Linked DNA regions of Callithrix jacchus. The protein of the gene in region 1 interacts with the protein of each later gene in a pairwise test. Links are inferred from orthologs where the notes say so. Each region holds a gene or a part of one and is shown on either strand. Other genes may lie near its edges.

Evidence for each region.
Region 2: the proteins of ZYX (region 1) and NEBL interact in a two-hybrid assay, tested with the Homo sapiens proteins (2 studies listed by BioGRID and IntAct). The link is inferred for Callithrix jacchus from reciprocal best matches to the Homo sapiens genes ZYX and NEBL.
Region 3: the proteins of ZYX (region 1) and TUFT1 interact in binary tests that used the Homo sapiens proteins (3 or more experiments, as listed by UniProt). The link is inferred for Callithrix jacchus from reciprocal best matches to the Homo sapiens genes ZYX and TUFT1.

What each region holds. Positions count from the first base shown.
Region 1 is NC_133512.1:104,124,036-104,127,783, forward strand, and holds the start of ZYX (zyxin), read right to left. Parts: upstream 2,251-3,748; 5' UTR 2,186-2,250; intron 2,039-2,185; exon of another isoform or gene 2,036-2,038; 5' UTR 2,024-2,035; coding exon 1,816-2,023; intron 1,356-1,815; coding exon 1,156-1,355; intron 1,010-1,155; coding exon 917-1,009; intron 802-916; coding exon 292-801; intron 1-291. UniProt on the Homo sapiens protein: Adhesion plaque protein. Binds alpha-actinin and the CRP protein. Important for targeting TES and ENA/VASP family members to focal adhesions and for the formation of actin-rich structures.
Region 2 is NC_133508.1:21,477,701-21,481,448, forward strand, and holds the start of NEBL (nebulette), read right to left. Parts: upstream 2,362-3,748; 5' UTR 2,258-2,361; coding exon 2,177-2,257; intron 2,085-2,176; coding exon 2,013-2,084; intron 1-2,012. UniProt on the Homo sapiens protein: Binds to actin and plays an important role in the assembly of the Z-disk. May functionally link sarcomeric actin to the desmin intermediate filaments in the heart muscle sarcomeres.
Region 3 is NC_133519.1:11,478,353-11,482,000, reverse strand, and holds part of TUFT1 (tuftelin), read right to left. Parts: intron 379-3,648; coding exon 10-378; intron 1-9. UniProt on the Homo sapiens protein: Involved in the structural organization of the epidermis. Involved in the mineralization and structural organization of enamel.

The DNA.
Region 1 (3,748 bases):
TGGGACAAAGTCACAAGGAAAGGTCCACCAGATCCTCCTCCTCCTAATCCAGAGCCTGTGCTCTCTGCGCCCTCCCAGTCAGGCCCCACCCAGCAAGGCCTCTCTTCTCCAGAGGAGCATTTTCTTACCATTGTTTGTTTCACCAGGCTAACCCTGCAGGATAAGAATTCCTATCCCACCAGCCCTATGTCCATTCTGACTCTCCAGTCACCTTCGTGCTGATGCTCTGGCTCCTGACTCAGTCCCGCCCCAGTGCCCGGGTCCCAGCCTTGTCCTACCAGCATCCCTCACCTGGTTTTGGTTCTGAGCCGGTGGGGGCACAGGGTGCTGCTTCTCCTGCACTCGGGGCTTCTCCCTCTGCTGAGCATAGGTGAAGCTGGGAGGTTGAGGGGTGCCTGTGCCAGCAGAAATAGCTTCGGAGTGCCCCAATTTTTGATTCGGCTGTGACCCAGGTCCACCTGGGGCTCCAGGACTAAACTTGGAAGCCACAGGAGTAAACTTAGGAGTCACTGGAGAAAACTTAGGGGCTGGTGCCGGAGATGGGGCTGGGGAACCTCGGGGTTGAGTGTTAGCCAAAGACACAGGCTGGGGCTGGACATGAACCTGAGGCTTAGCCTGGGGCTGGGGCTGGGGTGGAACAGGGAACTGTGTCTGGCTCACAGTGGGAGCCTGGGGCAGAGGCTGGGAGCTGGAAGGGGCTTTCCAAGGAGGCAAGGGTGCTGTGCCCCCGGCTGTAGGCTTAGTACTGGACTTAGAAACGAATGGAGTAGCCACTGGTGGGGGCACATATCCAGATGACACCTGCAAGGGGAGGGAGAGGGAAGAGAGATGCAGTCAGGAGAACACCATCCTCCATAGCTCTATCCCCAGTCTCTCTGGCCTTGGACCCTGCTTTTCCTACTCTCTGTTCCCTTACCCGGGCTTTGAAAGGGTCATTTTTGGTCATGTCATCCAGCAGTGAGGACAAAGAGTCGATCTCCAGGTCAATACTGCTCACCTTCTCCCTGGGCTAGAGGGTCAGAGGTCAGAGCACCTATTCCATGCCTCCACCCCCCCTCCCCCAACAGGGCAGAGGTGCAGAGGAGGTAAGAAGAAAGGACCTTCTCCTCTCGTTGGGGGTGTCCTGGTGCGGCCGCCCGTCCCAGGTCTCCATACCTGTGGTGGGAGCGGTATGGGGGCTTCAGGCCCTCCGTCCTCCTCCAGCGGAGGCGGCGGGGAAGGGAAGATCTCCTCCTCCAGAGGCGCAGGGGGAAACGATTCCTCGATGGGGGGAGGGGGCGGCGGGAAGGCACCTCCCAGAGCACCCTCTGCATCGTCGCCATCCCCAGCGAGGGGAGGTGGGGGTAGGGGAAAGTCTGGGGTAGGAAGAGGAGAGACGTCGGCCGGGGTCCGTCTACCCTCACCCAAGCTCGGTTTACCACTCTAACCCCTGACCCAAGAACTCTTGGGGGTCCCGGAGCGTGTGGGAAAGCAAAAAAGGGGCACAGGGCACCCTGAGAACACCGGGTCAGGAAAGGCCAGGGGCATGGCGGAGAAGTGGTGCAGCTCCCGTTACACTTCGGAAAACGGACCCGGAGGGTAAGATTCGTGGCCCACATTCCCGCCTCCCACCCCCAGGCGGGGGACTTGGAACGGTCCCAGGAGCCCTGGCTCCCAGCCACGAGCTCCACGATGAGGTAAGAACATCTGCTCGGGACAGGGTGGCTGCGCCCAGCCCCCTCGGCAACAACCTTTCCAGACATCCCCAAATTCCCGAAACTACTGCCCCCCACCCCGGCGCCTGCCGAGGTCCAGTCCCCAAGCCCCGCTGCATACCTTCCGGGGGAGGCGGGGGGACCTCGCCGACCCGGCCCATCTGTGCGCGCTGGGCCCCAGGCGCCGGGGAAGGCTCGCTGTCCCCAGGCCGGAAGGGATTCACTTTGGGCTTTGGGGCCACCACAGGGCCGAACTTCTTCTGCGGGGCGTAAAAAGCCGGAGCCGAGACCGAAACGGAGATCGCAAGAGACGGGCGGGGGGCCGCCATGGCCAGGCCGGGCTGCTGGGGTGGGACACCGGGTTACGCAGCGCCGAGTCCGGTTCAGGAGCCCCCGGCGGTCCCAGCTGCTCTCGGCGACCCCCACGCGCCCCCTCCCGGCGCCCCGCACCCCCTCTCCGTGGGGCCGCCCGGCCGCTCCCAGCGCCTCACCGCGGGCCGGAGCGTGCGCGCCGCGTCTCGGGTGGCCGCCTCGGCGCCGGGTCCGCGGATTCTGCGTCCCGGTCCGGAGCAGCCTCCGGCCGGGCGGGGAAGGACCCACGGAAGGAGGAGGGAGGGAGGAGAGAGGGGGCGGGGAGAGAGAGGCGCCCAGACCATACAAGGAGCTGCCCGGAGAGGGGGCGGGGAGAGCGGGGAAGGGCGGACCAGGCAGGAAACACCCCCAGGAAGGGGCCCGGATCCTGCCCCAGGCCCGAGGCTCCGCCGAAGTCCGGCCCCGCAACCCCACTCACAGCCGCCCCCGCCACCCCGGCCCGGCTCGGACCCCAACTCCCCGAGCACAGGCCTCTGATGTCATTTCCTGACCTGCCCACCCTCCCCGCCCGACCCGCGGGCGCCCGAGATCTGACTCACGGTCCCCCTCCGGGCTCAGCGGCGGAGGTGGGGCGGGTGCCCCGGAGGTAGCCACGCAGCCCCTGGGCGTCTCCGGCTGGGCCCAGCGACCAGCCCTCGGACCTGCCGTTACCTGGTCCCCTCCCGCCACCACCCGCTACCCAGGCACCTCTGAGTCAGCCTGGGGTGCCGGACGCTTGCAGCTGGGCTCTAGGGTGTAAGGGGATGGGGGATGAGGAGCCGGGCGTTCTTCCTCCCGGCACCCCCCCCCCCCACCGATTCCGTGCCCGGAGTGGGTGTGTGAGCCGGAACCTCCAGCATTCTCCGGGATACGAACTTCCAACTCTGGGTAGCCCCTTCAGGCTTCTAGGAATTCGCATCCCCCGCGCCCCCGCCAGAGGATCGGTTGCGAGAGGGACGGTTCGGGCCCGCGGGGCCAGGAATGGAGGTGGGAGGGCGGAGGCGGGGCCGAGGTGGCGGCCACCTGCGGACTGGGGACCGGGAAGAACCGACGCGGTAGCGGGCTGCCCCTCTGATGGCTCTTCAGTGCCCACCACGACCCACTCTAGGAGACCCCGGGCGACGCTGGGGCTCTTGGGCATTCTGAGACCGCGCCTGGTGGAGCCCCCCACTGGTCCGACCGGATTTCTCAGCTTGAGACTCAGCTCCAGGCTACGCGAAAGAGACCGGACCTGGGGTAATTCTTCTTGCAAACTAAGGAGTCAGGGCCTTTTGCCGCTAGTGCGATATGTACCCCTAGGCGCTTCTTTTCCTCTCCTCCTGCCAACTTTTACTGCCTTCTGAGGCACTCCTCCTGTTCACACTAAGTTTCCACTCCCTCCAAATCCCGCTGCACTCTACTGGCAAGGAGCACCAGGGCCATGTTTTAGAGATCATCCAAACTAACCCCAAAAGTTTATGGAGAGCAAGGCGAGGCTGAGAGCTGAAGAGATGGACCCGGGTCACACCCAGGTAGGGGCAGAGTCTAAACTGGACCTGGGGTCAGAGCTGGTGGCCCTGCACCCCTGATACCAGGTCAAACGACACTGACAGGATAGAGCAGAGCGAGGTCAGAGTGTGAAGATCCTGCCTGATGCTCAACTGACATCTCTTCATTCTCCCCGGCTCCATCTGTAAAAGTCACGGTTAATCCATCTACTGTTG
Region 2 (3,748 bases), on another chromosome or scaffold:
TGTTCTAAATATTTAAGTAGTACATTCTACCATGCAACATACATCTGTAATAAACATAAAGTATGCCTATCTGTTTAATTTTACCTACATGGGTGTGAAATATATGGTGTTAGCTTTCGCAAAATGATAAAGACCACTACCCTTCACAACATATTGGTTCTAAAGTCATTGATAAACAATCTTATCCAAAACAACTCCAAGAGAACCACCTGCTAACTACAGTTACCACTTTAGACCTGACAGTTTATGTAACACAAGTTAGCTCAGCTATAATTGCACTTCAATAAAAACAGATCAAAGCTGGAAGAGGGTAGATCCTTAGGGTTTTAATTGGTAGCATTGCTACCCCTAATAGTTATATAATAAATAATAAGAAATCAAAGAACAACATTTCATGGAAATCTACAGTGAGATAACATGGCAGAGTAAAGAGTAATATTTGTGTTTAAATATTACTGCCGCTGCTTAACTGTGTGACTCAGGCAAGGTACTGAACCTCTCTGTGCCTCCATCTCCTCACTTGAAAAATGGGAAAACACATAGTGCCTCCCTCACATGATCCAATGCCTGTCACATAGTAGTCACTAAATCTTAAAAACTGTTGCCAGTATTGTAATTGTTGCTGGTCATTGTCATTATTACTGCAATTTACAAAGAACTTTCACATACAGTAGCTAATGACTATTAAGTAATAGCATAAAGAAATACTTAATTTAAAGCACAATTACAACACATGTCAAATATATGGGAAGGGGTATGATTTCCACCACCATCCTTTGTGCTGCCCTCTGGTTTGTCAGAAAGAGCCAGCCATATCTAAACTGTGATTGGTTGGATGTAAAAGTAAGTAACAGACAGAGTAGTTAATGACAGCTAACATTTAAGGAGTCCTCACAATGTTCCACATAGTTTATTCAGCATTTTAGATGTACTACCATTATTTAATCTTCTTATAAGTGTTACAGCTGAGGGATGGGGCCCAGCCAGGTTACATAACCTTCCCAAGGTTACTGTGGAGTCAACACGGGCAGGTTGACTTTGGAGGACATGCCAGCCCACTGCCCTCCTGCCCAGGACTGACTTCCTTTGAAAACAAACATTTGTTAAACATTCCAATCACTTGGCTCATTATCAGCAACAGAAACAACCAGTATTGAGCTCATCTCTCTAAATAAAGACACAGGCACATATTCACTTTACAGGGGTTACCATTCCTCTGAACCACTAATTCTCTTAGAACTGTTAACAGGGATGAACTAAATTATCATCCCTAGTAAGCAACATTTTTCCTTGTACTTCTTGAATTCTAGCTTACATATTTATCATAAAATAATATGTTCAATCATTCTATAATTCTGGGATTCCCTTGAAATGTAATATGACTGATCCCAGTTCCTAAAAAATGTCACAACAAAAATGCCCCTTGCACTAATATCCTTACCTAGATCAGGGTTCTTAGCAAACAGTTCAGTAATCCATAAATCCTAAAATTGTAAATAAATATTATATGCATATATATATATATATATATATATATATACACACACACACACACACACACATACACATATACATACACACATTTCCTCTTCTGGAAGACAGGTGCATTAATTAGATACTTCAGAAGGCCCCAAATTGTTAAAAATGACTACTCATTTAGATAGAGGTCCTCCCAAGACAAATTACATCATTTTATTCATTTTAAAGTCTTTGGGGGTTCTCAAATGGAATATATACTGCAATTCAATACCTTATGATTTCATGCCAGAGTGACAGCAAAACTCATAAGGGACAGGATTCTGGATTAAGAATGAGGAAACTTGCTCTAGCAGAAATTCTCTGTATAGGTGACCTTGGGGAAATCACTTAAAATTTTAGGACTTTGTTCTAAGATCTGGAAAGTGACTGTGTTTTAAATGCTGATTTCAGGGTTTCCCCACAGCTCTGTGCCTCTATAACATAATTCTACAGGTGCAATGAAAATTAAGAGAGAAATTACTCTAGCCACTTACATCACTAATGAGTTCCGTGCATTTTCTGGCCAATTCCATGCTTAGGTCTTCAATAACAGGCTTATAGAAGACCTATTGGGGAAAAAAAAAGGAAAGGAAACATTTTTCTCAGCATCAATTTAGAGAATAAAACGTTGATCATGAGTACATGTTTTCTCACTCACCTGGTCTTCTTCATTTTCTTCTTCCCCTGTTTTTTCTTCTTCAGTTTCATATTTTACATCCTCAGTTACAGGGACCCTCATTTTTACCCTTTAAAATACTTATATTTTTAAAAATCTACTCATAGGCGTCCTTTTGCGTACCAGTGCCCTTGAGATGCTGACGTCTCTGGTGCTCTGGCAGGAATGCCCTTACCCATGCCTCAGCCCTATTTAGCCCACACTTCACTCCTTATCTCAGTGGTGTGTCAGTGAGCAGAACAGAATCCCAGAGGTCTACCAGGGCTGGCCTCACAAGTGGAAATAACATATTCTTAGGCAAAATTAGATTTCATGAACTTTTCAAGTCAACATTTTTTCCACTGGTTAAGAAATCCAAAAGAGAAAATTTATTCATTTTTTACTAATTCTATTCATTCATAAAAGAGCATAAAAAGGACTTAGAGATTCTGGGAAAATTATCCAGCTCTAACACTTAAGATAGCACAGTCCAAAGCCTGTTATCGCAGAGATTCCTTGACTCTGTCTAAATAAAGCTTTCAATGGAATGTCAGACTTCTTTCTGACTTGGGGTAGTAAATCTGGATCATTCAAACTCATTTTATTAACCTAAATTATATGTTTTATGAGACATACCAGTACTTTTCACATCCTAAAAAATGCCCACTTTATATTAGCTGATTAGAGGCTATTTATTATGAAAAGCCCTTTGAGCCCCTTCAAAGAATCTATTCTGAGTTAATTATGACTGTTAGTCTCATACTGGTGAGTATGGTATTGTATTAATTGTAAACATCATTAAACATGAGAAGTTGCAGTTAACACAAGTTAATATATCATTTAACAACTCTAGAAACATCAGTTTCAAAAATCGTCACCATCATCTTTGAATTCTGCAATTCTACTCATGCCAATTTTTACAAATTCATTAGTAATTTGAATTATTACTCAATGGGTACTCCACATTCTGAAAAGTTTGGAAAAATAAACCACCACAATATTTGTAATATGGTATATGTCCTTAGTTATGTAAAACCAAGGTTAAAAATACGTTTCTCAAAACAAATATTTTAGTGTCAATTCAAGCAATTCCAAGATGCTCTACAACTTACAGTTTATTAATCTGGTTATATAAATCCTAGGATAAATTAATTTTACCAAGCCATAGCATATTAGCATTGGGCATAACAAATACCCTACAATGAATAGTAATACTGATAATACAAAACACAATTAATAATAATACATCATTCTAAGTAGTCAAGCATGTTTTTCTCTCTTGATATCATATCTAGTTTTCCATGCATTGTAAAAAAAAAATGCCCTTAATTAAACTGAAAATTCTAACAAGAAAAACATTCCATACAGTCATCATGTATAAATTATTTCTGAAATTGTGTTCCGTGAGGCAAAAGTTCCACAAAAGATTCTAGGGGAGAAAAGCAGCTTTCTTAAACAAATATGTGTAAGAAACCTGTACCCCAATCTCTGTCCCTGCCACTTAGAGGTTGACAAGGCATATTGACATGCTGGAAGTTCTGAGAAGACCTTCAACCAAAAAACCTACTTGCTTAA
Region 3 (3,648 bases), on another chromosome or scaffold:
CCAGATTACCGTCTCCATCCCTAACACGCACCTCTGCAGCTCAGGATCCCAGATGACCGTCTCCATCCCTAACACATGCCTCTGCAGCTCAGGATCCCCGATTACCGTCTCCATCCCTAACACGCGCCTCTGCAGCTCAGGATCCCAGATGACCGTCTCCATCCCTAACACATGCCTCTGCAGCTCAGGATCCCAGATGACCGTCTCCATCCCTAACACGTGCCTCTGCAGCTCAGGATCCCCGATTACCGTCTCCATCCCTAACACACGCCTCTGCAGCTCTCCGACTTCTGCCTCTTTCTGCTCCACTCTGTTCTCCTCTCTCTGAAGGGCCGCGTTACTCTGTTCTGCTTCTCTCTGGTATTGGCTGAGTGTGACCTAAAACACGGGGCAGGAATATGTTAAATGGTGTGGAAAGAAAGAGCAAATATGGGGGGAAAAAAACCTTAGAAAAGAACCCAGGAACCTGGGTGGCTCCGGAGCTGTGACGGGATAAAGGTGGTGACTCAGATGGCCATAGCACCGCCTTCCCTTTGCTGTGCAGGACCACCTCAGTACTCCAGCAGAGTGAGTCTATGCCCAGGGTTAACTGGCTCACAGTTGATTGAGGTCCACTTTAAAGTGACACCTGGAACCCACAAGCACCACTTTTCAGGTACGTGACTCCTTCATCATCCCCATGAACCCTCTGCCATCACCCAAGCTTAACCCAATGTTGTGGCTTTCTATGAATTCAAAAGCAAATAATCCCGGGGAGGATACCTCCAGGTCCTTCCCTCTGTCTCCTCCACGCCTCCTCACTCTCACTTCTAGCAATACTTCAGAGCCCACACACAACAGCCAAAATGGCAACTGGAAGGGCTACTAAAACATCAGGAAGAACTTGTCTTTTATCGGAGATGAGAAACCATTTGGAGAGAACAGAAGCAGAGCATCAGAATGAGAACACAAAGAACTCGCCTCCTTTCCTCCCACTTGCATCTTTCCAACTCCCACTCATCCTTCAGGTCTCACTTGGATGCCCCGTCTTCCAGGGAGCCTTCCAAGCCTGGGGGAGGAGCCCTTCCTTTTTGTGCCCAGGGAGAGGACACACGAGGGACACACGGCCTTCCCTCCCATGGCACTGAACAGACTTTGCCCAGCCACCGCATGCACCTGAAGCAGGCTGTCAGCATCCTGATGGCACAGACCTGAGCTCCCACAGCACCTTGTATACAGTAACTACTCGATGAAATCAGGAGCGGAACTGACATGCATCTAATCAAACCCTCTCCCTTAACAAGCAAAGGCCAACTGACCTATTCAAGGTTACCCAGCTAGTGAATGACAGCCAGTGCTAGGACCCAGATACTTCACCATCCATTTCAACGCTTCCCAGGTACCTCACACTGACTGCTCATCACTTATTAAAAAAGAATCCAGGTAACTTCTGGAAAGCCTAGCCAGCCAGCCTGGGAAAACAGAACACCAGCAGCCAGTTTGTCCAGCCCCTCCCAAGGTCAGAACTGGGGAGGAGAAAGCACAGCACAGGGTGATTGATGTGTAATGGGACGTGTCCATGCTACACACCAGCTCCGTCCAGAGCAAACTCACTCTCACTGCAAATCCTTCTTGACAGCAAGCAGCCAGTAGAACAGGAAACCCATGCTTAATGGCAAGTTGTTTTCATGGTAATTGGTCATCTTGCCCTTCCTACCCCTAGGTTCAGAAAAGTACATCAGGGAGTCCAATTCACTAGGAGAAACTGAGACAAGCCCTCAAATGACCTGTATTAACCTGAAAGAGCCCATCCCCATAGGCAGGAACTTAAAAATAAGGCCTTTCATTTCTGTACATAAACACTACACCCAAGTCGATGTGAGCTCAGAGCACTGTGTTAACAAGCCCATGGGTCAGTTCTTGCACCCCACTGTTGGAGCAAAAGGTTAAAAAAAATACAGACTCCCCTTCCATATTTGTCTCTGTGGCTCCAGCCAACCCTGCCCTCAAAGTAGCCTCTTAATTATAAAAAGGTGGCCGGGCGAGGTGGCTCACGCCTGTAATCCCAGCACTTTGGGAGTCCAAGGTGGGTGGATCACCTGAGGTCAGGAGTTCAAGACTAGCCTGGCCAACAGGGTGAAACCCCATCTCAACTAAAAATATACACACACACACACACACACACACACACACACACACACACAAATAGCTGAGCATGGTGGCAGGCATGTGTAATCCCAGCTACCTCAGAAGGCTGAGGCAGGAGAATCGCTTGAACCTGGGAGGTGGAGGTTGCAGTGAGCCCAGATCACATCATTGCACTCCAGCCTGGGTGACAAGAGCAAAATTCTGTCTCAAAAAAAAAAAAAAGGTGTGCCAACTTGGCCCACCAGTAGGAATGAGCTGAGGAACACCTCCTTTTTAAAAAAAAAAAAAAAAAATTATTTATGTATCCTATTTATTATTTTGAGACAAGGTCTCAGTCTGTTACCCAGGCTAGAGTGCATGGCACCATCATAGCTCACTGCAGCCTCCACCTCCTGGGCTCCAAAGATCCTCCCACGTCAGCCTTCCAAGTGGCTGGAACCACAGGCATGCTCCGCCACACCGGGCTAATTTTCTTACTTTTGTAGAGACAAGGTCTATGTTGGTTAAGCCGGTCTCAAACTCCTGGGCTCAAGGATCCTCCTGCCTTGGCCTCCTGAGCGATTACAGGCGTGAGCCACAGTGCCCAGCAGGAAGCATCTCCCATCGCAGGAGGTGCTGTGTACTATGCGGTTACGAAACAGAACCTCTTCTAACCTCTGGGCAGCGGCTACAGCGGTCGTGGCACTTTTGAGATCCAGAGTAGCAGACTCCTCCATGCGTGATTAAACCCAGTAAGTATTTCTATCATTTCCACAACTTCAAAATGCCTCTCAATGCAGGAATTTCTTTCCAAAATTCACAACCTGGTCAGTACGACAGCCTCAACCTTCCTTCCTCCTGTTTTGCTCGGAAAAGGTAGGAAATAGCTGGTTACCAACTGATACATCACCAACGAAATTATACAAACTGTAGAATCTGAAATAGATGCAACACACCCCTCACCACACAGCTACTTTGTTCTGAGACGACAAACTACTTTTAATATTACCCTAAGTCCAAGCTATTTACAATAGGAAACTCTGCTTATTAAACTGATTGCTAAGAAAAATGTAGATGATTTTAGGCCAGGCGCGGTGGCTTATGCCTGTAATCCTAGCACTTTGGGAGGCCCAGGCGGGTGGATCACAAGTTCAAGACCAGCCTGGCTAAGATGGTGAAACCCCGTCTCTACTAAAAATACAAAAAAATTAGCCAGGCACAGTAGCAGGCGCCTATAATCCAAGCTACTCAGCAGGCTGAAGCAGGAAAATTGCTTGAATCCGGGCAGCAGAGGTTGCAGTGAGCCGAGATCACACCACTGCACTCCAGCCTGGGCGACAGAGTGAGACTCCATCTCAAAAAAAAAAAAAGAAAAGAAAGAAAGAAAAATATAGACTATTTTATATTGCTAAAACCCTTCCAAATAATAAAGTGCCCTCACATATATCACCTCACTGGATCTACACAACAAACTTGTAAAGTGCATTTCATTCACCCTTTTTCCAAAAGTTGAAACAGATACTCAGAACTGCTTGTTCAAAT